4 linked regions of the Callithrix jacchus genome follow. The protein of the gene in region 4 purifies or fractionates together with the protein of the main gene of each other region. This does not show direct contact. Links are inferred from orthologs where the notes say so. Each region holds a gene or a part of one and is shown on either strand. Other genes may lie near its edges.

Region 1 (5,847 bases), on a different chromosome or scaffold from region 4:
TACCTGTAATCCCAGCTAGCTACGCGGGAGACTGAGGCAGAAGAATCGCTTGAACCCTCAAGAAGGAGGTTGCAGTGAGCGGAGATCACACCACTGTACTCCAGCCTGGACAACAAGAGCAAGACTCTGTCTAAAAAAAAGAAAAGAAAAAAATTGCCACAATACTAAGTCATTAATTTAATGCCAGGTGGTGGCACTATGAGTGATTTTTCTTTTTTTTTCTTTTTTTTTTTGTATTTTTAGTAGAGACAGTTTTGCTGTTGACCAGGCTGGTCTCAAACCCTGGACCTCATGATCTGCCCGCCTCAGTTTCCCAAAGTGCTGAGCTTACAGGCATGAGCCACCACACCTGGCTGCATTTTTGTTTTTAATATCTGTGTATATGCACATAGATAGGTTTTTGTTTTATTTTTTGAGACAGAGTTTCGCTCTTGTCGCCCAGGCTGGAGGGCAATGGCGCGATCTCGGCTCACGGCAACCCCTGCCCCCCGGCTCGGCGGATTCTCCTGCCTCGGCCTCTGGAGTAGTTTGTATTACAGGCATGTGCCACCACGCCTGGCTAATTTTGTATTTTCAGTAGAGATGGTCTTTCTCCCTGTTGGCCAGGCTTAACTCCTGACCTCAGGTGATCCACCCGTGTTGGCCTCCCAAACTGTTGGGACTACAGGCTTGAGCCACCACGTCCAGCCATGGATAGGTATTTTTAAATACAGTCTTGTGGAAAAAAAAAGACCAGCCACTTGCAGATCTGTACGAATAATGTGACAATATTTTTGTTAAAATCCATACACAATAAAAACAAAGCTATATTCTATGATATCTCTATATATCCGTATAAATTCACAGCAAAAGATCTAGAAATATATATATAGTGTTTTAGTCCATTTTCTGTTGCTTATAACAGGATACCTGAAACTGGGTAATTTGTAAATAAAAGGAAGTTATTTCTTACAATTATGGAGGCTGATAAGTCCAAGGTCAACAGGATGTAGCTGGTGAGAGCCTGCTTGCTGGTGGGGTACCCCTGCAGAGTCACCAGGCAGTACAAGGCATCATATGGAAAGGGGGCTGAGCTGCTCACTTGCTAGCTCAGGTGTCTACTTATAAAGCCATTAGTCCCCCTCCCAAGATAACCCATTAATCCATTAACCCGTTAATACATGAATCCATGAATAGATTAATCCATTCATGAAGGCTCCACCCTCGTCATCTAATCGCCCCTTAAAGGGCCCACCATACAGTACTGCCACATTGGGGACTGAATTTCCAACACATGATTTGTACCTCATCTGCAAAGTTTAAATATTTTGCATTAATTCGCGTGTTGTGTAAGTAAAAATTTAAACATAATTTTTCAGAGATAACTGCCCAGACCAGCTCCCGGGTTTGGCCGTAGATCCTCTGATGCGTGTTTCTGATCGAATCAATTTCTTCTCCCGGAGACACCCAATCAGGGTCGTGTGGATTATTTGTGGGTTAACCAGGTCCCCGGTTAACCATCCAACTCAGAATATAATAGAGTTTCTAAAAATGCTTTTTGCTGTAAAACCTATTTGGAACAAACCTGGGTCTAAAGATTGGAGTAAGTACTTATTTTCGAATACATGACTTTTGAAAATAATTCTATAGGAATCAGAACACATGTTAAGTAAAAAAAAAAAAAACAAAAACCTCAGCGAAAATGCCTTTCAATTTCGAGAATAAATTCTAGAAAACGCATTAAGTAACTCTCTAGAAGAAATAATTCGCAGCTAGGTAGCGTGGCCGAGCGGTCTAAGGCGCTGGATTAAGGCTCCAGTCTCTTCGGGGGCGTGGGTTCGAATCCCACCGCTGCCAAGGTGGATTGTTTTTGTCTCCGCTGCACACACTGCCATCTCCGTTTTGAGCACGCCATCAGCGCCCCCTGCTGCAGGGCGGGGCATGGCCTCCATAAATGGCGCGGCGGAGGGGCGGAGCTCCGTGCCCCGGGGCGGGGCATTGTGGGTAAGAGGAAGCGCTGGGGCCGGCCTGCTCCCCCCACGTGTCCGCCAGAGTTTCTCCACCAGCAACATGGCCGCTGCCTGAGAGGAGAGCCGGGCCGCCGCCGCCTCTGCAGCCCGCGGGTTCCTGGGCTCTTGCCGCCGTCCGCGCGGCCCCCGCGGAGAGGTGAGTCCCGACTTGGCAGCGCCCTAGCTGGGGCTTGAGCCGGACAGCACTCAGTATGTGGGCCTGGGCTAGATTCCCGAGTAGGCCAAGGAGGCCCGCGCCGCGCTGTGCGTAGGGACTGGGGGCCTCTTGGGACGCGGGTGGGGAGGACGGACAGCCGGCTCTAGGTCGACCAGGCCAACCCCGGACACCGACCTCCCTGGCCCTACACTTGGGTGTTGGGGAGGCCGCGGCCGATGCTGCCGGCGGTGACTCAGGGTCCAGCCGATCTGCCCCACCCGGGCCGGAGCGGCCTCCTATGGAAGGAACACCTGTCTGGCGTCGGGTGTGGTAGCTGCTCGCGGCAGGAACTTCGTGGTGGGCGTGAGAAGGGGGCCTGACCACCCGTGAGGGAGCAGAAACCCATTGGACGGCGTGGCTCGGGGTCGGCGGCCAGCCGGGATGGGCAGGGACGGCACCTGCGCTTGCCGGAGCTCCCCTCTTTGCAGCTGAACCGGATCATCCTCTGCCCGGAGAGGCCCGAGATTCCTCATTCATTTATTCAGGCAACCATTCAGTGTTTACTGAACCAACTCTGTGCTTAGGATACGGCCCTGACCGGTCGGTCCGAGGAGGTGTCAGTAAACAAACAAGGTCATTCCTTTGGGTTACCTTTAGAATTCCTTGAGCTTGGGGACAGAAAGAAGAGATCGTATCGATCGCCACAGTTTGCTCATCTGTGAAATGGGAATAATAGAAATTCCTATCTCATGGGGTTGTGGTGACGGCTCAGTAGAAAGCAGGTGACGCTCTTGCTTGCAGCGCTTGACTTGTTGCTTAGTGTCATTACCCTCTTATATTGGAAGAAAACATGTTGTCAAGTAGTAACAAACCTTCCCATAGGTTGGGTCCTTACTCCCCTGTTCCTCCCTTCCCCAGCCGTCTGGAGGTCGGTATTTAGTTTCCCTACTTCAGGGATGAAAATAGGGAGGGATACCAAGCGTAGACAACTCAGGTGGGCCACAGATATGAAGCAGCAGTGGTGGGATTTGAACCTGCACAGTTTTGGTCTCGAGTCCAGGCTCTTACCCACTTAACCATACTGCCTTTTATTGAAGAGCTGTGCAGTGTAATGGTTAATAAGAATAAGGATCTTTGACATCAGCGAGACCCGAGTTACTGTCTTGATTCCACCTTGGAAAACGTACTCATCTCTGAACCTGTCTCCTCATTTCTAAATTGATGATAAATCTCTGTTGATAGTGCCAATGAGAAGATTAAATATAAAGTATTCTTTGTACTATATTGAGTGTCAACTTTGTGCCAGGCAGTGTTCTAGATATTGAGAGAACAGCAGTGGATTTTTTAAGTAATGATCTCCATAACAGCTTTGATGAAATAAAGTATAATTATCTCTGCATTTAGTAGAGGAAACTGACGCGCTGAGAAGCCTTCATGGAGCTTACATTCTGTTGCAGAAGACAGACAACACCTGAGCAAATAGACCAGGTAGTTTCAGATTAAGATGAGAACCACTGAGGAAAGCAAACAGAGATGTGGTGTAGTGCCTAGGAGGAGGTTGGAGAAGGCTCTTAAAATAGAGGAGTCAGGGAGCCTATCCTCAGCTGCAGACGGTGATGATGCTATTTAATAAAAAGGAGCAACCTTGGAAAGCCCTGTGGGGAATAGATGATGTGCAGAGGACCTTGGGGTGAACTGGGACTTGGCTTCTTGGAAGCCCTGCAACTGGCTACCAGGCCAAAAAGATGGTGAGGGGAAGATCGAGACAAAATCATGCAGGGCCTTAGAGTGGCTTATGGAAAGGAGTTTGGGTTTTATTTATATGACAATGATGGTTGACAGGTTTTAAGCAGGGAAATAATACGAGATATATATAAATTGTTTTTTTTTTTTTTTTTTGAGACAGAGTCTCGCTCTGTCGCCAAGCACCAGGCTAGAGTGCAGTGGCATGATATCAGCTCCCTCCACCTCCCAGGTTCAAGTAATTCTTCTGCTCAGCCTCATATATATATATATATATATATATATATATATATATATATTTTTTTTTTTTTTTAAAGACAAAGTCTTGCTCTCTCTTGCCCAGGCTGGAGTGCAGTGGCAAGATCTTGGCTCATTGCAGCCTCCGCCTCCTGGTTCAAGCAATTCTCCTGCCTCAACCTCCCGAGTAGCTGGGATTACTGGTGTGAGCCACCACACCTGGCTAATTTCTGTATTTTTAGTAGACACAGGGTTTCACCTTACTGGTCAGGCTGGTCTTGAACTCCTGACCTCAGGAGATCTGCCTGCCTTGGACTCCCAAAGTGCTGAGATTACAGTCAGCCACCGCACCTGGCTCTTTTTTTTTTTTTTTTTTTTTCACCCAATAGAGGGAAGGTCTTGTGATCATAGCTTACTGCAGCCTCAAACTCCTGGGTTCAAGCAAGCCTGCTGCCTCAGCCCAAGAAGTTGGGACTATAGGCCATGCTGGGCTATTTTGTCTGTGTGTGTGTGTGTGTGTGTGTAATAGAGATCAGGGTCTCACTATGTTGCTCAGGCTGGTCTTGAACTGCTGGTCTCAAGTGGTCCTTCCACCTAAGCCTTCTAAAGTGTTGGGATTACCAGTATGAGCCACCACGCCAGCCTGATTAACTTCTTTACGAGGACTCTGGCTGTTGCCGGGAGACGGAAGTAGGAATAAGGAGCCGTAGGGAGCCTCGGATGAGTGCTTTTCACATTGCAGATTGAGATTTATTAGTGGGAAATAAAATCAATTTAGGGGAATTGAAGCTAGCATTTTTTTTGTTTTGAATGAAGTAGAAAACATCACTGTCTGACATATAGTAGGGACAGTTATGGTTATGTGAAAACTTGTTTCAGTTATGCAATTGTATGTACTGGACCATTTATATGAGATGAATTTCTTTTTCTTTCTTTTTTTTTGAGACACAGTCTTGCTCTGTCACCCATGCTGGAGTGGAGTGGCAGGATCTCAGCTTACTGCAATCTCTGCCTCCCAGGTTCAAGCGATTCTCCTGCCTCATGTTCCTGAGTAGCTGGGATTACCACGCCCAGCTAATTTTTTATTTTTAGTAGAGATGGGGTTTCACCATGTTGATCAGGCTTGTCTCGAACTCCTGACCTCGAGATCCACCCACCTCAGCCTCCCAAAGTTCTGGGATTACAGGCTTGAGCCACTGCGCCTGGCTAAGATGAATTTCTTACTGTGGTGGGTCTTAGGCTGAAAACTTTGAAAGCCACTGAGTTGGATCACCTCAGCCTGGAGGATGAAGGGAGGTGACACTCTTTGCATCAGCTCAGATGCACTTTCCAGAGGGAGGAGCTCCAGCTTTCCAGCAGACAGGGCACCTCATCCTTCCTGATCCCTGGCAGGGCAGAGGCCAACGGGGCATAACAGTTGCTGAGAAAGAACTGTTGGGTCTCGGGAACCTCCCAGGCCACACCCTCTTAGTGGTTATGATCGTCCCCTTGCTCACCTGGCACTCTAGCCTCTCGGTTGTCCACTGCCCAGCTGCAGAGAAGGCAGGAGCTTGACATGTCTGGCACTCGGCAGCCGATGCAGAAGGGTAGGGCCTTGGGCTCTCCCTCCACACTGCCCTCTGTCTGCACAGCAGCAGGCACTTGAAACTGACAAGATGCAACTTCTGATTTTCATTCCATCCTCCATCTCTGGGACTGTTTGGATAGCCTGTTTCTCCTAAG
Region 2 (5,897 bases), on a different chromosome or scaffold from region 4:
CACAGCTGGCAACACTGGGCTGGAGGAGAGCATAGGGGCTGCACTGGCTGGACTCCGGGGAGGAGTCCTCCATCCCTGTGCCTGGGCACACCTCTCACAGCCTGGGAAAAGCCTGGCTTCACTGATGGCACCAGAGGGAAGAGCCAAGTCTACAAGTGAAATGACAGTCACATTCCTAATCAACCACCTAGCTAGGACTTCAGTGGTGTAAAGGAACACCCATGAACCAAGGCCAGGCACCTGTCTGGCACTGGACAACCACAGAACTCCCCTACCTCTTTCCCTTGTTAAACACAAGTTCTCATCTCTGCCACATACATCTTAAGCGTGCCAGGTGGCACTGAGGTCACAAATAGGGGTGGCATTGGGGGAGCTAATCTTGACTGCTGCTCAGTGCCCCTCAGCCCATGAACACACAGGCCTACTCTGCTGGAACCTGCTCTCACTCACTCACAGAACGTGCACTTAACAGTGAATGGAAGGCTGGGTGCGTGGCTCATGCCTGTAATCCCAGTACTTTGAGAAGCCAAGGCAGGTGAATCACCTGAGGTCAGGAGTTCAAGACCAGTCTAGCCAACATAGTGAAACCCCGCCTCTACTGAGAACACAAAAATTAGCAGGTCATGGTGGCCAGTCCCAGCAGGAGAATCGCTTGAATCTGGGAGGCAGAAGTTGCAGTGAGCCAAAATTGCGCCACTGCACTCTAGCCTGGGCAACGAGCAAAAACTCCCAAAAAAAAAAAAAAGTAAATGCACGTTTGTCTACAGAATAAGCCACTACAGAAGCGTAGCTTATGTGAAGACATGAAGGTCAGCGTCATTTTGATAAAGTACCAACATTACCAAATGCCCAGAGCAAGCCCCCAGAAGGACTTCCTGTAGCTGAGAGATGGAGGAAAATCTTAAAACTTCTGTTTTGCCCAGAGGCGCCTATTAAACATAGCCCCTGAGAGCCTTTGACGGGAAACTTACGATTTAATGATGTTTCCCAGTGTGTGGTCTTCTTTGTTGATGGTGAACAAACAGGCATTGGGTACCTTGGTGTCCTTGTTAATGGTGATCCTAGGAAGACACAGAGGCCACAGATGAGGGACAGGGGCTCCCCTCCGCCCACCCCAAGTCTAAACCCTGCCTCCTTCGGACCAGGTGCAGTGGTTCATGTCTGTAATCCCCACCCTTTGGGAGGCTGAGGTAGATGGATGACCTGAAGTCAGGAGTTCCAGACCAGCCTGGCCAACATGGTGAAACTTTGTCTACTAAAAATAAAACCCAAACTGGGTGTGGTGGTCCATGCTTGTGTTCTCAGCTACTTGGGAGGCTGAGGCAGGAGAATCACTTGAACCTGGGAGGAGGTTGAAGTGAGCCAAGATTGCGCCACTGCACTCCAGCCTAGGCAACAGAGCAAGACTGTCTCAAAAAAATAAAAATGAAAAGCTCTGCCTCCTCCTGAAGACCTTTCTCAATCTCTTCCTCCCATAAAGACCTCTCCAGCCTGATTCCCTACCCCAGGTCTGTGGAACCTTGGCCCTTCTCGGAGTTCCTCCTCTTGTCTTTCCTCTCCCTCTCTTTTAGAAGAGATGAGGTTTTGCTTTGTCGTCCTGGTTGGTCTTGAACTTGCCTCAAGTGATCCCTCCTGCTGCCCAGGCTGGAGTGCAGTGGTGTGATCACAGCTCACTGTAGCCTCCAGCCTTAGCCTCCTGAGTAGCTGGGACCACAGGCGCATGCCACCATGCCTAGCCTGCTCCTTTTTTTCTTTTGAGATGGAGTCTTGCTCTGTTGCCCAGGCTGGAGTGTAGTGGCACAATCTCGACTCACTTCAACCTCTGCCTCCCCAGTTCAAGTAATTCTGCCTCAGCCTCCTGAGCAGCTGGGGTTACAGGCGTGTGCCACCATGCTCGGCTTTTTTTTTTTTTTTTTTGCATTTTTAGCAGAGACGGGATTTCACCATGTTGGCCAGGCTGGTCTTGAACGCCTGACCTCGTGATCCAACTGCCTGAGCCTCCCAAAGTGCTGGGATTACAGGCGTGAGCCACTGTGCCTGACTGCCCCTTTTTTCTAAGGTAGTTTCTCCATGTTGACACCACAGACGTTTTAGGCTGCATGATTCTTTCCTGTGGGGTGCTATCTTGCTGGACAGCAGCAGCACCCTGACCTCTATCCAGTAGATTCCAGTCATAACCCCCTTTGACACCATAAATGTCCCCAATTATTGCCAAATGGTCCCCAGCTGAGAGTCTGCTCTAAAATGAGGCCAAGCCCGGTGCACTGGCTCACACCTGTAATCCCAGCACTTTGGGAGGCAGAGACGGGCAGATCACCTGAGGTTGGGAGTTTGAGACCAGCCTGACCAACATGGAGAAACCCGGTCTCTACTAAAAACACACAATTAGCCGGATGTGATGGTGCATGCCTGTAATCCCAGCTATTCAGGAGGCTGAGGCAGGAAAATCACTTGAACCTGGGACATGGAGGTGGAGGTTGCCGTGAGATCACACCATTGCACTCCAGCCTGGGTGGACAGAGTGAGACTGTCCAAAAAAAAAAAAAAAGGCCAAACTGGCCGGCAAGGGCCAGACCAAGACCTCTGCACGCCAACCTGGGAACAGTAAGAGCCAGTGGTTATGAGGTCTTCCAGGTGCCGAGCTTTAGACCAAGTGCTTGACACAAATTACCTCATCCAATTCTTTTTGAGACAAGATCTCACTCTGTCGCCCAGGCTGGAGTGCAGTGATGCGATCACAGCTCACTGGAGCCTGCAACTCCTGTGCTCAAGCCAGCCTCCCAAAGTGATGGGATTAAACGCGTGAGCCAGCGCACCTGGCCAAATCCCATGTTTAAGAACAGTAATAGACCGGAGGCCGTCACTCACGCCTGTAATGCCTGCACTCTGGGAGGCCGAGGCAGGAGCATCAGCTGAGATTGGGAGTTCGAGACCACACAGGCTAATATAGAGAAACCGCGTCTCTACCAAAAATAAGAAATTAGCCGGGCGTGGTGGCGCATGCTTGTAATTCCAGCTACTCAGGAAGCTGAGGCAGGAGAATTGCTTGCACCTGGGAGGTGGAGGTTGCAGTGAGCCGAAATCGCGCCATTGCACTCCAGCCTGGGCAACAGGAGCAAAACTCCGTTTCGAAAAAAATGAAAAGTAACAAATCCATTTTCCAGAAAAGGAAACAGGGCCTCCAAAAGATCACGGCACTCGTACAGATACAGTCGCTAAGTGGGGGACCCAGGGGCCAAGCCCAAGCTGTCTCTCCCGGGGACTCCTTCAACCAGCAGGCAGCAAGAAGCCACTGCGGCTTTTACACAGGCCGTTGGCAAATCAAAGGACACGGGGGATGGAGGCGGCGGGCGGAAGACAAGAGAGGAGGCTGCCACGTCCCAGAGGAAGAGGGCTATGGAGAGCCAGACACTCTGGGTTCGAATACAAGCCCCGCCACCTCCTCCGTGTCTGGGGCAACTTGCTCCTCCGAGCCTCAGTGTCCTCATCTGCCAAATGGACACACTCGCCACTGCCTCCCGGAACTGGCTTAAATTTGGCCGACACAGGCCGTGCGGACTATCAGGCAAAAGCTGCTTCCCTCCCGGAGCAAGACATGGGCAGGAAACGCCCCCGGAATGCGACAGTCGCAGCCCCGCAAACCTCGGCTCCTCCCAGCTGGCGTCACTTACTTCTTCTCGCCTTCGAAGAGCAAGAACGACTCGAAGGCTGGAGGGGCGTTCATACTCCTGCCGCCGCCGCCGCCGCCGCCGCCGCCGCCGCCACCACTGCCGCGTCCAGACCCTAAGCGTCCGCTGCCGCCGCCTCCGAAGCCCTAGTAAGAGGCTTCTTCCGGATTACTCTGGCGGGTCAAACTAGCGTAGGGACCAGCTCATCGCCCCCTATTGGGCTGGAGGATCTTGCGCAGGAGCGAGAAAAGCCCGAGCGAGGCCAGTACCTCTGCGCCTGCGTCAGTATGGAAGCCCCACCCCCCCAACTCCCACCCCCTCACCCCCTCGTGGCTTTCAACGTGGGCGCTTTTTGGCGCATGCTCAGAGCGCCGGGAGGGCTGCTCTGCCCCTCCAGAGATCTCCTAATCCTGACTGAGTGGAAACCCCAAGCTGTGCCTCTCTGCTCCCCACGACCCTTGATCTCGCTTTGCAACCGTGCACCCCCTTGGAGTGCACAGCAGGAGGCCCCTGAATAGAGAGAATAGAGCTAAGGGGAATGGGCAGCTGCGGCTGGCAGCCGTGAGGGGAGCTGAGGAAGGTCTCGTGGCCAGAGGCAGATCTGTGCTAAGCCCCCTGCCGAGGCTGCCTACACCGACTGCTGTGAGACCCCTGGCTGGGATGCCACTGGCTTGTTAGAAGGGAGGGACAGTTGGGTGACGGATGGGGAAGGAGGCGGGTGTATACAGCAGTGAGAGGGAGCTCGGAGGGTTATGTAAATCTTTTTATATATTATTATCATTTAGAGACAGTGGCTCACTCTGTCGCCCAGGCTGGAGTGCAGTGGTGCCATCATAGCTCAATGCAGCCTCCAACTCCCGGGCTCCGGAGATCCACTTCAGCCTTTCAAGTAGCTAGGACTTGCAGGCACGTGCCATCACACCTAGCTAGTTTTCTTTTAAGAGTTGGGGTCTTGCTGTGTTGCCCAGGCTGGTCTTGAACTCCTGGCTTCCAGCAATTCTCTCATCTCAGCCTCCCAAAGGGCTAAGATTGAGCCACTGCACTTGGTGGATAAGTCTATCTTACCTTTTGGTTTGGCTGTTTTGCAGACTACAGTTTAGCATAAAGGCCCTCCTTGAGACGGAGTCTTACTCTGTCGCCCAGGCTGGAGTGCAGTGGTGTGATATCAGCTCTGTCGCCCAGGCTGGAGTGCAGTGGTGTGATACCAGCTCTGTCGCCCAGGCTGGAGTGCAGTGGTGTGATATCAGCTCTGTCTTCAGGCTGGAGTGCAGTGGTGTGATATCAGCTCTGTCGCCCAGGCTGGAGTGCAGTGGTGTGATATCAGCTCTGTCGCCCAGGCTGGAGTGCAGTGGTGTGATACCAGCTCTGTCGCCCAGGCTGGAGTGCAGTGGTGTGATACCAGCTCTGTCACCCAGGCTGGAGTGCAGTGGTGTGACACCAGCTCTGTCGCCCAGGCTGCAGTGCAGTGTCGACATCATAGCTCACTACAGCCTCAAGCTCCTGGGCTCAATCCCACCACGGTGGGAGGCTGAGGCAGGCCTCCCACGAGGTCAAGTCCTCCTGCCTCAGCCTCCCCAATAGCTAAGACCACAGGCAGACACCACAGCACCCAGTTATTTATTTATTTTTTTTTTACTTTTTGTAGAGATGGGGGGGGGGGGGTCCAACTTTGTTGCCCAAGCTGGTCTCAAACCCCTGGCCTCAAGTGATCTTCTCACCTTGGCCTCCCAAAGTGCTGGGATTATAGGCATGAGCTCCACCCCAGCCACACACGCCATGCTGATTTGTTACACGTTGGCTGTAGTTGCTTTTGTGCTACGTGGCAGAGTGGTTGTGACTCAGAGCTGCATGCCTGGTCCTTTACAGAAAACGTTTGCTGATCCTAATCTCAGGGATTGTGGCTGTGTTGACTTTCCTGCTTGTTTGATTACAGCCCAGACACTGAAGTTACTTATTAACTTGCAGTTTCTATCCCATAGAAAAGAAAACTTCATTAACTGGTTCGTATCTAACATCACAATCTTTGTCTGGGTTGCTTCTCTTAAAATGCTTACTGGCCAGGCACAGTGGCTCATATCTGCAGTCCTAGCTCTTTGGGAGGCTGAGGAGGGAGGATTGCTTGAGCCCAGGAGTTTGACACTAGCCTGGGCAATAGAGCGAGATCTTGTCTCTACTACAAATTTTAAAAATCAGCTGCGCATAGTAGTATGTGCCTGTAGTTCTGTTTAC
Region 3 (5,870 bases), on a different chromosome or scaffold from region 4:
ATAAACATCTTCAGGTATGTAATTTTGCCCACAATAAAAACAACCTTTTTCAATATTGTGCAGGCATCTTAGTTTTTCATTGTGAATCTTCTTATTCCAGAATGTGATTTGGGATTTGCCTAGTAAAGTACATTTCCTGAAAGAAGACCAACTTTTCCTACAAAGAACAGAAAACTCTTAGGAGATTTAAAATAACAATTTGTCCAGCCCGAATCCCCCTTTTCACGTTGGACCTGAGGAATACCGTAAACCAGGGTCGGCAAACTTTTTCTGTAAAAAAATCAAATAATAAATGTTTCAGGCTTTGTGGGCCCATACAACTTGTCATGACTACTCAACTCTGCCATTGTGTAACTCTGCTATTGTACTGTGATGGTAAATATGAATGGGTATGCACATGAATTCCAACGAAGCTTTATGGACCCTGAAATATTAATTTCACAGAATCTTCATGTGTCAGGAAATTGTTTATTTCTCTCAACCACTTAAAAATGTAAAAACTGTTCTTAGGCCTGGCACGGTGGCCCACGCCTGCAATCCCAGCACTTTGGGAGGCCGAGGTGGGTGGATCACGAGGTCAGGAGTTCAAGAGCAGCCTGGCCAAGATGTTGAAACCCCGTCTCTACTAAAAATACAAAAATGAGCTGGGCGCAGTGGCACGTGCCTGTAATCCCAGCTACTCAGGAAGCTGAGGCAAGAGAATTGCTTGAACGTGGGAGGCGGAGGTTGCAGTGAGCCGAGATCACATCATTGCACTCTAGCTTGGGTGACAGAGTGAGACTCTGTCTCAAAAAACAAAAACAAAAACAAAAAAACTGTTCTTAGCTCTCACGCCATAGAAAAACAGTTGGCAGGCTGGGTTTGACTCCTCATAGCTTGCCAACCCCTGGTGGAAATCAATCCTCTAGAGGATATCTGAAGGGTAGAAACAACTAAAAATGGAAAATTCCTGATAATGTTAGCACTGTCAAAAATTCAGGAGACCCCAGCTACTCAGGAGACCGAGGCAGGAAGACTGCTGGAGCCCAGGAATTCCAGGCCAGCCTGGGCAACATGGCAGACCCCATCGCTTAAAAAAACAAAACAAAACAAAACAAAACAGGAAAAGAAAAATCCAGGAGCTTGTTAAGTGATCAGTTAGTCAAAGGGTGAAAAGCGGGTATCACCAGATGACAGAAAACAAATTTTTCTAGAGAACTAATTTTGCTTTAGACATCCGTCAACTTAGAGAAAGTAGAAAACTGTCTCTAATAAACTGAAATATTTGGGACTGATCTCGATCTCTGCCAAAACACTCACATGGTTTGGCAGAGATCGAGATCAGTCCCAAATATTTCAGTTTATTATAAACAAAGACTAATAAGTCGTCTCTACTATTAGAGGAAAAAAAAAAAAACAGACTGAAATGCAAAAATTCCTGAAAATGAGTAAATAAGGCAAAGATAAAATACTACAAATGTCTCTTGTCAGTTCACAAGACCTTATCCTGGGCAGTCAACGTCCAATTAGAAATAACGTTTGAAAATTTAATAAGAGAAAATGAAGTCTCCTTCTGTAATACACAGTAAATAATGTTTAAAATTAAAATAGCAATAATATTATCTGGTAATATGATGGTAAATAGCCCCTCCCAAAAACTGAAAAAGTTGAAAGCAATGGTATATAACATTTCAAACTGTGTACATATGTGACTTTAATACAAATGTTTCAAGATTAAATTTAAGAAAATAAAAATTAAAAGTGTGAGCAAGAACTCCATTGCTATGACAATCCGCGCAGCGGCCACCTCTTTGTTCTTAGGTTGTTCTTCTCTCAACCCGCCCCTTCCTCCTCCTCCTCGAGCGGTGGCCACGCCCCCTCTAGTGCGAAAGGCTGCGTTTCCGGCTCGTGGGTCTCGAATCAAAATGAGACACCGGCGGGCGGAAACGGCTGGTCGGCGGGGCGCGCAGGCTGAGGCTCCGCCCTCGACAGCAGGGCGTGTGACGTCACTTCCGGCTTCTGCCTGTCTGTCGGCCCCCGAGCACGAGTTGTGAAGGGATCTACTTGTGTGCAGAATCCCTCGGAACCATGGTGAGCCTGGCCCTCAGCCTCTTGCCCTGCTCCTGCCCCGCCGTGCCTTTGCCACCCCATTGCTCCCTCTGTCCTGCTAGCGTCATAGGCTCCATTCCTGTCTCCCGGGCCCGCCGCGCATGGTACGGGCCTTGGGGCCTGCGGCCTGTGCCAGGCCAGCCGCTGGAGCCCACTACGAGGGGGAGGGGTGGCCACAAGACCAGCGTCTCCTTCTGCCCAGACCGGGTTTCCATAGTCCCGGGAACCCAGGCCCACGCCTCACCCCAAGCGAAGAAATTTCTAGTGCGGGTCCTGCTCCGCCCTCCTCCTAGGGGCGGAGCCACCCGAAGGTGGAAGATGGAGGCCGCCGCGTTCACTCGCCCGCCGGGCGGCTGTACCCTTGATGATCTGCGACCCCTCCGTGCCTCATTCTTTGTTCCAGATCGTCTTTAGTCTCGGTATACGTAACTGTCAATGTCGCTGGTGTATAGTTAATACTCCTGGGGCCATTGTAAATCTGAAAAGCCTTTTGTCGCTTTCCTTCAAGTCCTTTCCTGCACTTAAATGCCTTCTCCGATGATGGAAGCTTTATTTGTTTGAAAACATTATTCTAAATGAATTTTCGGGTAGATTCCATTTGTAAGACTAGTGGAAGGCACCTCAGTATAGAGTATTGGTTCTTAAACAGAATGCCTCTTGGTTTTCCTTTTTAGGCGTCCCTTTCCCTTACACCTGTTAACATCTTCAAGGCAGGAGCTGATGAAGAGAGAGCAGAGACAGCTCGTCTGGTAAGCCTTGTTCTAACTATTGTTTTAAAGATAAAACTGGAGGCCAGGCGCAGTGGCTCACTGCTGTAATCCCTGTACTTTGGGAGGCCGAGGTGGGCAGATGAACTGAGGTTAGGAGTTCGAGACCAGCCTGGCCAATATGGCAAAACCCTGTTTCTTTTAAAAATATAAAATTAGCCGGGCGCGGTGGCTCACGCCTGTAATTCCAACACTTTGGGAGGCCAAGGTGGGCGGATCAGGAGGTCAGGAGTTCGAGACCAGCCCACGGTGAAACCCCGTCCCTACTAAAAATACAAAAATTAACTGGGCGTGGTGGAGTGCGCCTGTAATCCCAGCTACTCAGGAGGCTGAGTCAGGAGAATCACTTGAACCGGAAGGTAGAGGTTGCAGTGAGCAAAGATCGCACCACTGCACTCCAGCCTGGGTGACGGAGTGAGAGACAGTCTTTAAAAAAAAAAATACGAAAATTAGTCGGCGTGGTGGTGGGCATCTGTAATCCCAGCTACTCGGGAGGCTGAGGCAGGAGAATCTCTTAGACCCAGGAGGCTCAGGTTGCAGTGAGCTGGGATCTTGCCATTGCACTCCAACCTGGGTGACAGAGCAAGACTCTGCCTCAAAAATAAAGTAAATAAAGATGAAACTATTTTTCTCTTAAGACTGTAAAGGTGATTCTGATAATCTCCTTGGTTTTTACTCTAGTCTTCTTTTATTGGTGCCATCGCTATTGGAGACTTGGTAAAGAGCACCTTGGGACCCAAAGGCATGGTAAGAAAAATAGAAAACTTTTATGTTTTAATATTGTTTTAGAGCCTTTAGTGGAAATATATTAATAACAAACATTTTTATATGCTTTTTAATCTTTAAAATATTTAATTATAACAGTAAGACAAATGTATTATCCTTAGTAAAAATCAAACTAGCGAGTATCACCATCCCCAATCCATGCCCCTCCCCAATGACAAGTACTGTTATTTGCATCTACAACTTCTAATACTCTGTTTGCTTTTATAGAAGTATGTGTACTTTATTATGTATTTTCTTAGATATTCTCATGTAACAGATACTGTTTTATAAAACAGAGGTACTATTTACAAATACTTTTTTGTAGCTTGCTCTTTTAAATTGTTTTCAGGGTAAGTAAATAATACAGTCTCCTCTTTAACAAATAGTATTTTGCACCTTAATTATTTTATAATTCAATTATGGCTGTATTGATAGTTTTTTTTCATGGTTTTTGCAGTTACAGTGCTGAAACAAACGCTAGTGTCTCCCTGTGCTTCTAGTGTTTCTAGGGGTAGATACCACGGTTTTGTTACATGGTGTATGTATTGAAAACATTTGATGGATGGATACCACAAAATGGCCATCCAGAGTGTTTATACGCTAGCATTGTATGAGAATACCGATTGATGCATGCATTCTTCAAGATGTAATTATATCTTAACTTGAACCAATTATGTATCCTTTAGGACAAAATTCTTCTAAGCAGTGGACGAGATGCCTCTCTTATGGTAACCAATGATGGTGCCACTATTCTAAAAAACATTGGTGTTGACAATCCAGCAGCTAAAGTTTTAGTTGGTAAGTCTGAATATACTTTTTCACCAACCTAATAATATTGTTTGTTAATATTTTGAAATAACTTTTCAAATAAGCTGTGTTGACCAGCTGTACTGTCAATCAATTGATGTCCATTACTTTTTAATTATCATCATTAAAATACAAGCTGCAGGAGTGCCATAGTGGTAAAAGTGTTGCATTTTAGACCTCAGAGTTCTAAAGAATTTGTTGGATGAGGAAGCTTGATAAATATGTTTAGATTGGAAGTGAATATTTTGAAGAATTTAGTGCTAAGAAGCAATTTTGAGTTAATAACTAATTTCTTTTTCTAGACATGTCAAGGGTTCAAGATGATGAAGTTGGTGATGGCACTACCTCTGTTACCGTTTTAGCAGCAGAATTATTAAGGGTAAGAACAACTGAGCAACTCTGTTTTCCTACTGTGTTTTTGAATATCAGATAATCAAGTCCTTATTTCATCTTTACTATTGAGTGCTTAATACTTTTTCATTTATAACTTTTATAACTTTATTAATAGGAAGCAGAATCTTTAATTGCAAAAAAGATTCATCCACAGACCATCATAGCGGGTTGGAGAGAAGCCACAAAGGCAGCAAGAGAGGCTCTGTTGAGTTCTGCAGTCGATCATGGGTTGGTATACCAGAGTATTACTGTTTTAAATATTTAGTGTTCTTTCATAACATGCTCAGTGCAAGAAATCTAGAGGATACTGAAAAGCATACACAAAGATCATCTTGCTACGTCACCCCACTCCACAGTCAAACCTAGGTCAGCCTCCAGAGATGACCACTAAAGTTTGGGTTTTTAGTCTTTTTGTATCTCTAATCAAAATATGCAAATAAAGCCAACAGTATAATACTGTGTAGAGGATTTATTAGCTTCTTTTTAACCTAATTAAATACTAAGCACATTTTTGGATGTCAGTTTTCTATGCAGTATTTTAATAGTGTTACCCATTTGAGTATGTGGCTAGAATGACTATATTTACTTAACCCATTTCTAGGGGGAGATTTGTGTATTCAGCGATTTTTAGCTTTATAATAACAATGTTATAAAGAACATAGCCCACAAGTTTCTAAAGTGTAATTGTTGGGTCCAGAGGTAGTTGTGTGTGTTTTAAGACAAGGTTCCCTACCCCCAAACCTGGGCTGCATGGCAGGTGAAAAAATTGTCTTCCATAAAACCAGTCTCTGGTGCCAAAAAGACCGGGGACCACTGTTTTAAGGCACTTTCACATAGGTTATAAAATAAGCCTCTGGAAAAAAATTATTGATTTACCCGTCCACAGCTATATAATAGTGTTTGTTTTCCACATTCTTTTATTTATTTATTTTTTTTGAGACGAGTCTTGCTCTTAGAGTTGCCCAGGATAGAGTGCAGTGGCATGATCTCAGCTCACCGCAACCTCTGCCTCCTAGGTTCAAGCGATTCTCTTGCCTCAGCCACTCAAGT
Region 4 (6,093 bases):
ACTATACATGGAGGCCCTGCCCTCCATTCCCTGTCTATCCTTTCAGAACTAAGATAAAGACTTCAACAAAGACTGATATGCTTCCCTTACATTTTTTTTCTTGGATGCACAGGCTTTGTGAGCTCCAAGTCAGTGATAAGTTTAAAAAAAAAAAAAGAACAAAGACGCGTGAGCTTTGGAGCATGTGACTTAAGGGTAGTTCTGTAATGATAAATCAAGTCTGTTTCCTAATATTTTCATAAATGACCCATCTAGCTCAATAATTCTCAGCCTTGAGACTCATTAGAATCACCTTGGAAAAGTTTTAAAAAAATTCTAATTTCTAAACTTTACTCTAGATGCAACAAATATGTACCACTGTGTCAGAATTTCTAGCGGTAGGACCAAGGCACAAATGTTTTAAAACACACACACACACACACACACACACACACGGCACAAAATGCACTCATATGATCCTGATGCCCAGTAAAGAGTGGGAGTTACTGGACCAGTATTTAACCTATATTATTTTCCATTTCACCAGAGCAGCCAAAAACAACGTAAGTTCTTAAAGGTATTCTTGCATTAGTTTTATCCTCTTTTTGGACGGTTGGCTCTTTAAGAGAAAGGACTCAACTTTTAAACATCTTTGGTTCTTGTTAAACACAGTACCTTGAAATAGTGTGTTCTCAGATTATTCATGGTAGAAAAAAAAGAAGACCCAAAGGATCCAGGTGAAAATACACTTAGTGGTTATTCCTGGCATTGAGATTATGAGTGATATTTTCTTCATTTTCCTGTCATATTTTCTAAATGTTCTATCACAAATACATATTACTTTTGCTACAAAAGAAAATTATCTTTTTAAAATTTGCTGAAATTCCCTAGCGTTTCTACAAAAGACAAAGCACTCTACTCCACCTAAAGGAGTAAGCGTACTTTTGAAATGCGTACAAATCATATATTCTTATTTTATTATTTTTTGAGGCAGGGTCTTTCTCTGTCACCCAGGCTGAAGTGCAGTGGTGCAATCATGGCTCACTACAGCCTTGACCTTCTGGGTTCAAGACATCCTCCCACCACAGCCTCCTAAGTAGCTGGGACTACAGGCACATGTCACTATGCCCAGCTAATTTTTGTATTATTTTATACAAAAAGTAAAGATGAGGTTTCATCTTGTAGCCCAGGCTGGTCTTTAACTCCTGGGCTCAAGCAATCCACCCCTCTGCCTCCCAAAGTGTTGGGATTACAGGTGTAGCCACTGCACCAGGCCTATTCTTATTTTAAAAAGTCACAAGTCTGAGCCCTGATCCTGCCACTGTACTCCATCCTAGGCAAGAGTGAGAACCTATCTCAAAAACAAAAAAAAAGAAAAGAAAAATTTCAATCATGTCCCATTTTCTTTGAAAAAGGAATAAATGGCCAGATGCAGTGGCTCAAGTCTGTAATCCCAGCACTCTGGGAGGCTGAAGCGGGTGGATCACCTGAGGTCAGGTGTATGAGACCAGCCCGACCAACATGGTGAAACCCCATCTCTACTAAAAATACAAAAAAATTAGCTGGGCACGGTGGCAAGCACATGTAAACCCAGTTACTAGGGTGACTGAGGCAGACTAGTTTGAACCTGGGAGGCGGAGGATGCAATGAGCCAAGGTCGCGCCATTGCACTCCAGCTCGGGCAACAGAGCCAGACTCCGTCTCAAAAAAAATAAAAAATGAAAATCCTTTAAATGCCTTTTCTTTTTAATGGTAGCTCACACCTTATCCTGCACTTTGGGAGGCAGAGGCAGTAGGATGGTTTGAGCCCAGGAGTTCTAGGCTACAGTGAGGTATGACAATACGACTGCAGTCCAGACTGAGTGACAGAACTACGCCATCTCTAAAAAAAAGAAAACAACAATAAAAAACAAAAAGAACCCCAAATGCGATATAAAGAAATTTTACTTTGTGTAGAAATCAGGAAGGACATCATACATTAGATAATCTGAACTGAACATTAGAATAGCAACAGGTGGCCGGGTGCGGTGGTTCACTCTTGTAATCCCAGCATTTTGAGAGGCCGAGGCGGGCAGACTGCTTGAGCCCAGGAGGTGGACACCAGCCTGGGCAACATGGTGAAACCCCATCTCTACCAAAAAAAAAAAAGTACAAAAAAATTAGCTAGGTGTGGTGGCACACACCTGTATCCCAGCTACTCTGGAGGCTGAGGTGGGAGGATCCCTTGAGCCAGGGAGGTGGAGGTCACAGTGAGCTGTGTTTTCACCACAGCACTCCAGGCTGGGTGACAGAGTGAGACCCTGTCAAAAAAAAAAAAAAAAAAAAAAGCCACAGGTTACTGGACGCTAAGGAAAGGTAAAAAGGAATAGGCCATGTTTCATGTTTGTTATTCAGGGAAATTTCAAGTGGGATGGGGTCTTACATACTTTCTATTCCAGACTTACCAGTCCAAACAACTGTATTCATCCTTTAGCTACCAGTGTAGTCCCTACCTCCTCCAAGCCGATTCTCTCCATAAATTTTGATCCCCAGAGTTCTTAACCTTCCCTGCGCTAGTAGTCTATTACAACCCTGATCTGATTATGACTGATCTTTTTTCTTCTTTTAGGTAACCTAAATTAAGAGTTTTTAAAAACTATAAACAGCTATAAAATGCTAGTGATTATTATTCTTTAATTCTTTCGCTAGTAATCAACGTGTAAACCTAATTTTGCCACACCCTGCTTAAATCCTTTCAATGGTTTTCCATTTTTCTTAGAAAAAAGGCATAAATCCTTTCAATGTCCTACAGCTCTTGTAATGTCTGCTTCCTGCTTACCCCTCTAGTTTCTTAAGGAGATAAACTTCCTCCCATCACTGAGCTTCTGCATATGCAGAAGCTCTGGAAACCTTGTCCTTTACTCCTCGTTCGGCCTAGTTTATGCACATACCAAAATCAGTTTTTACTCATCCCAAATCTGTTTTCACTCTCAGAGAGCCGTTATCATGTTACTTTGTGTGAGACAAGTCATCTCAGTTTGTATTTACGTATCGTTGCTTTGATTACCGAACTGAGTATCTCTCCCACTAGAAAATAAACTCCATGAGATCGGGGACATTGCCACTGACATGCCTGGGAATACCAGGCACTCAACTGATACCTGTCGAATGTGTTAGGTTGCCTCTTCCAACTATACTGCAGGCATACTGGTGCCCGCTTTGGCCGGACTGCACTGGGAGTGACAGGAGGGTTGGACACGGAGGAACTAGCCCGCGGATGAGCATAAACATTTTAAGTAGGAAACATTCCTCAGTCGGCGGTCAGCTTCTCTGGTCTTGCGCGGCTCAAGCTATGCTTTGGGGGGATGCTGCACGAAGACTCTGGCAAAGAGAAATGCAGATCCCAGGATCTGCACGCGCTCCCAACGGCAGTCCAGATGCTTGACCCGGCACCCACCTCCCGAAGCAGCTTCAGGTCCCCGTGCTGGATCTCGTACAGCTGAATGACGCCGGTGCCCCGTGCGAAGTTGCCCATGGTCACAAATTTGGCGCTGCAGGGCACCCACTTACAGTCAAACACCGTGTAGTTGAAGCCCTTCTGGATATGGGCGATGATCTGAGGCTTCTCGAAGGCCGACATGGTCCAGCCGATTTCAGCTCCGGCAACCGCCACACCCAGAGCCCCCCAAAACACCAACCTGGAAACCAGACTCCAAACATGGGCAATTTGACCCTCCTGCTTTCCGTACTCTGCCCCAGATGCCCTAGAAAGTTGGCTGTGGTTATCTCCGGATAATGCCAGATACGCTCCTGCGATCGCATAGAATGTTCCTTCACAACAAAACGAATTTGTTTATCGCCTTTACCCACTGTCTTTAGCACACATACATATTAGAGATTACAAAATACTTGTGCTGTGAGTGGCGTGACTGGAGTGAGACGATGAGCATCAGGCATATCTTAGGACAGCCTACATGCCCTTTCCACCCCGCCCCCAAATTCTGCAGGTCCCCGGCCTGTGGCGTTTTAGGATAGGGGCGGAGCTGCGGGGGTGGTTGGCAGAGGCTGGCTCCTGCGCTGTGGAGCAGCGCACGTGTTTCAGCCGGAAGTGCTTTAAGAATCCCAGGGTTGGAATCCGAAATGGAAGCACAGAGCGCCGGGGCAGAGGACGGCTTTACCCAGGTCACCCGCAAGGGTGGCCGGCGGGCGAAAAAACGGCAGGCTGAACAGCTGTCCGCAGCGGGAGAGGGCGGGGATGCGGGCCTTATGGACACAGAAGAGGCCAGGCCGGCGAAGAGGCCAGTCTTCCCGCCCCTCTGTGGTGACGGGCTCCTGGTATGTGGCTGGGACCGTGGGATAGCAACGAGGCAATGGCCAGAGGCCAATCAAGCCGGTGGCCTCTGGGCTATGTTGAAGCTGCGGGGGGCTGTTTTGCTGAAAGAAGTGATTCTTTGAAGTGTAACTAGTTCAGTTAAAGGAAGCCCTTTGTGGATCAGATGTCATTTTACAACTCCATCACCATCCCTCCATAGTTTCCTGAGTTGTGTGTTCTTTTATTACAGAGTGGGAAAGAAGAAACAAGGAAAATTCCGGTCCCAGCTAACAGATACACACCATTAAAAGAAAACTGGATGAAGATATTTACTCCTATTGTGGAACATTTGGGACTTCAGATACGCTTTAACTTGAAATCAAGGAATGTAGAAATCAGGGTAAGGAAAATCTCAGCCATTTCCCAATACACCACGCTTTCTCTCCTAGAGATGAAAAGGCTTGAATAGACTTTACTTAAGGGGACGTATTCTGTTAAATGGTTTTTGTCCAGTTTAAAAATTTACTATATTGAGTTTGAACTTCCCAAATGCCTTCAAAATCTGCATTTGATACAAATATTAGTTGGATTTGTAAGTTCTGAGATCATACCAAAATACTGGTTCGGCTTCTGTATATCTTTTATAATGTTCAATATCAAATTGAGAAAAGGTCGAGTAAAGAGATTGTCATAAATAGAAGTAAGTAAACAATGAACATAAGTACTTGCTGCTTTGTAAGAAGTATATACAGTCAGCATCAGGGATATGTTCTGAGATACGTTTTGTTAGATGACTTAGTCCTAGTGCAAACATTATAGAGTGTCCTTAACACAAACATAGGTGGTGTATTTGTTTACATATTTTTTAATATGGAAAACCACATGTCCCAGTACAATTACTGAGATTCAGTCATTTCACCTACTTGATCTGCATTGCCAGTATCCAGTGACATATAACAGGTTTCTGTATAGTCTTCATTATACTGCAATGAGACCACCATGGTGTGAGCAGTTGGTCATTGACCAAAATGTCATTATGCAGTGCATGACTGTATTTTAATGGTACTCTTGATTTTAAAATGTGTCATTTTGATAAGAAACATGTACTTATGTGTGTGTATATATACATGTGTGTACATATATGTGTATATACATATACGTGTGTATATATGTATACACATATATAATATATATACACACATATACATTGTGTGTGTGTGTGTGTGTGTGTTTATACCACAGCACTCCAGGCTGGTTGACAGAGTGAGACCCTGTCTCAAAAAAAAAAGCCACCGGTTATTTGTATATATGTGTATGATCATATGTGTGTGTGTGTGTGTGTGTATGATACATATGTGTGTGTATATATATAATACACACACATACACATACATACACACGATTATACATATATGTATGATCATACTATACCAGTCCTGATGATGGTATCAGAATCCTTAAAAATGAAAATATAATTTTGGTTGATTGACAGCATGAAATTTAAAATGTGTATATATATATTTTTTATATATAAATATAGATATCAAAAATGTAAATATACACACACATGATCATACACATACACTATATACACACACACACATACACACATATATACATATTTTATTTCGCTCTTTCGACCAGGTTGGAGTGCAGTGGCAAGATCTTGGCTTAGTGATAACAGGCGCCCACCACCACACGTGGCTAATTTTTGTATTTTTAGTGGAGACCGGGTTTTACCATGTTGGCCAGGCTGGTCTCAAGCACCTGACCTCAGGTCATCCGCCTGCTTTGGCCTCCCAAAGTGCTGGGATTACAGGTGT

The links.
Region 1: the proteins of DNAAF10 (region 4) and POLR3E purify together in Homo sapiens (affinity purification with mass spectrometry; 3 studies listed by BioGRID and IntAct, with this or other methods). This does not show direct contact. The link is inferred for Callithrix jacchus from reciprocal best matches to the Homo sapiens genes DNAAF10 and POLR3E.
Region 2: the proteins of DNAAF10 (region 4) and POLR2J purify together in Homo sapiens (affinity purification with mass spectrometry; 3 studies listed by BioGRID and IntAct, with this or other methods). This does not show direct contact. The link is inferred for Callithrix jacchus from reciprocal best matches to the Homo sapiens genes DNAAF10 and POLR2J.
Region 3: the proteins of DNAAF10 (region 4) and CCT2 purify together in Homo sapiens (affinity purification with mass spectrometry; 3 studies listed by BioGRID and IntAct, with this or other methods). This does not show direct contact. The link is inferred for Callithrix jacchus from reciprocal best matches to the Homo sapiens genes DNAAF10 and CCT2.

The regions. Positions count from the first base shown.
Region 1 is NC_133513.1:22,887,767-22,893,613, forward strand, and holds the start of POLR3E (DNA-directed RNA polymerase III subunit RPC5), read left to right. Parts: upstream 1-2,029; 5' UTR 2,030-2,145; intron 2,146-5,847. UniProt on the Homo sapiens protein: DNA-dependent RNA polymerase catalyzes the transcription of DNA into RNA using the four ribonucleoside triphosphates as substrates.
Region 2 is NC_133503.1:11,371,556-11,377,452, reverse strand, and holds the start of POLR2J (DNA-directed RNA polymerase II subunit RPB11-a), read right to left. Parts: upstream 3,797-5,897; 5' UTR 3,725-3,796; coding exon 3,672-3,724; intron 1,062-3,671; coding exon 972-1,061; intron 1-971. UniProt on the Homo sapiens protein: Core component of RNA polymerase II (Pol II), a DNA-dependent RNA polymerase which synthesizes mRNA precursors and many functional non-coding RNAs using the four ribonucleoside triphosphates as substrates.
Region 3 is NC_133510.1:72,133,939-72,139,808, forward strand, and holds the start of CCT2 (T-complex protein 1 subunit beta), read left to right. Parts: upstream 1-1,987; 5' UTR 1,988-2,067; coding exon 2,068-2,070; intron 2,071-2,379; exon of another isoform or gene 2,380-2,507; intron 2,508-2,762; coding exon 2,763-2,837; intron 2,838-3,536; coding exon 3,537-3,602; intron 3,603-4,306; coding exon 4,307-4,418; intron 4,419-4,729; coding exon 4,730-4,806; intron 4,807-4,935; coding exon 4,936-5,048; intron 5,049-5,870. UniProt on the Homo sapiens protein: Component of the chaperonin-containing T-complex (TRiC), a molecular chaperone complex that assists the folding of actin, tubulin and other proteins upon ATP hydrolysis.
Region 4 is NC_133515.1:45,712,930-45,719,022, reverse strand, and holds the start of DNAAF10 (dynein axonemal assembly factor 10), read right to left. Parts: upstream 3,599-6,093; coding exon 3,416-3,598; intron 1-3,415. Other genes in the region: RNA-binding protein PNO1, read left to right, coding at 4,099-4,293, 4,521-4,670. UniProt on the Homo sapiens protein: Key assembly factor specifically required for the stability of axonemal dynein heavy chains in cytoplasm.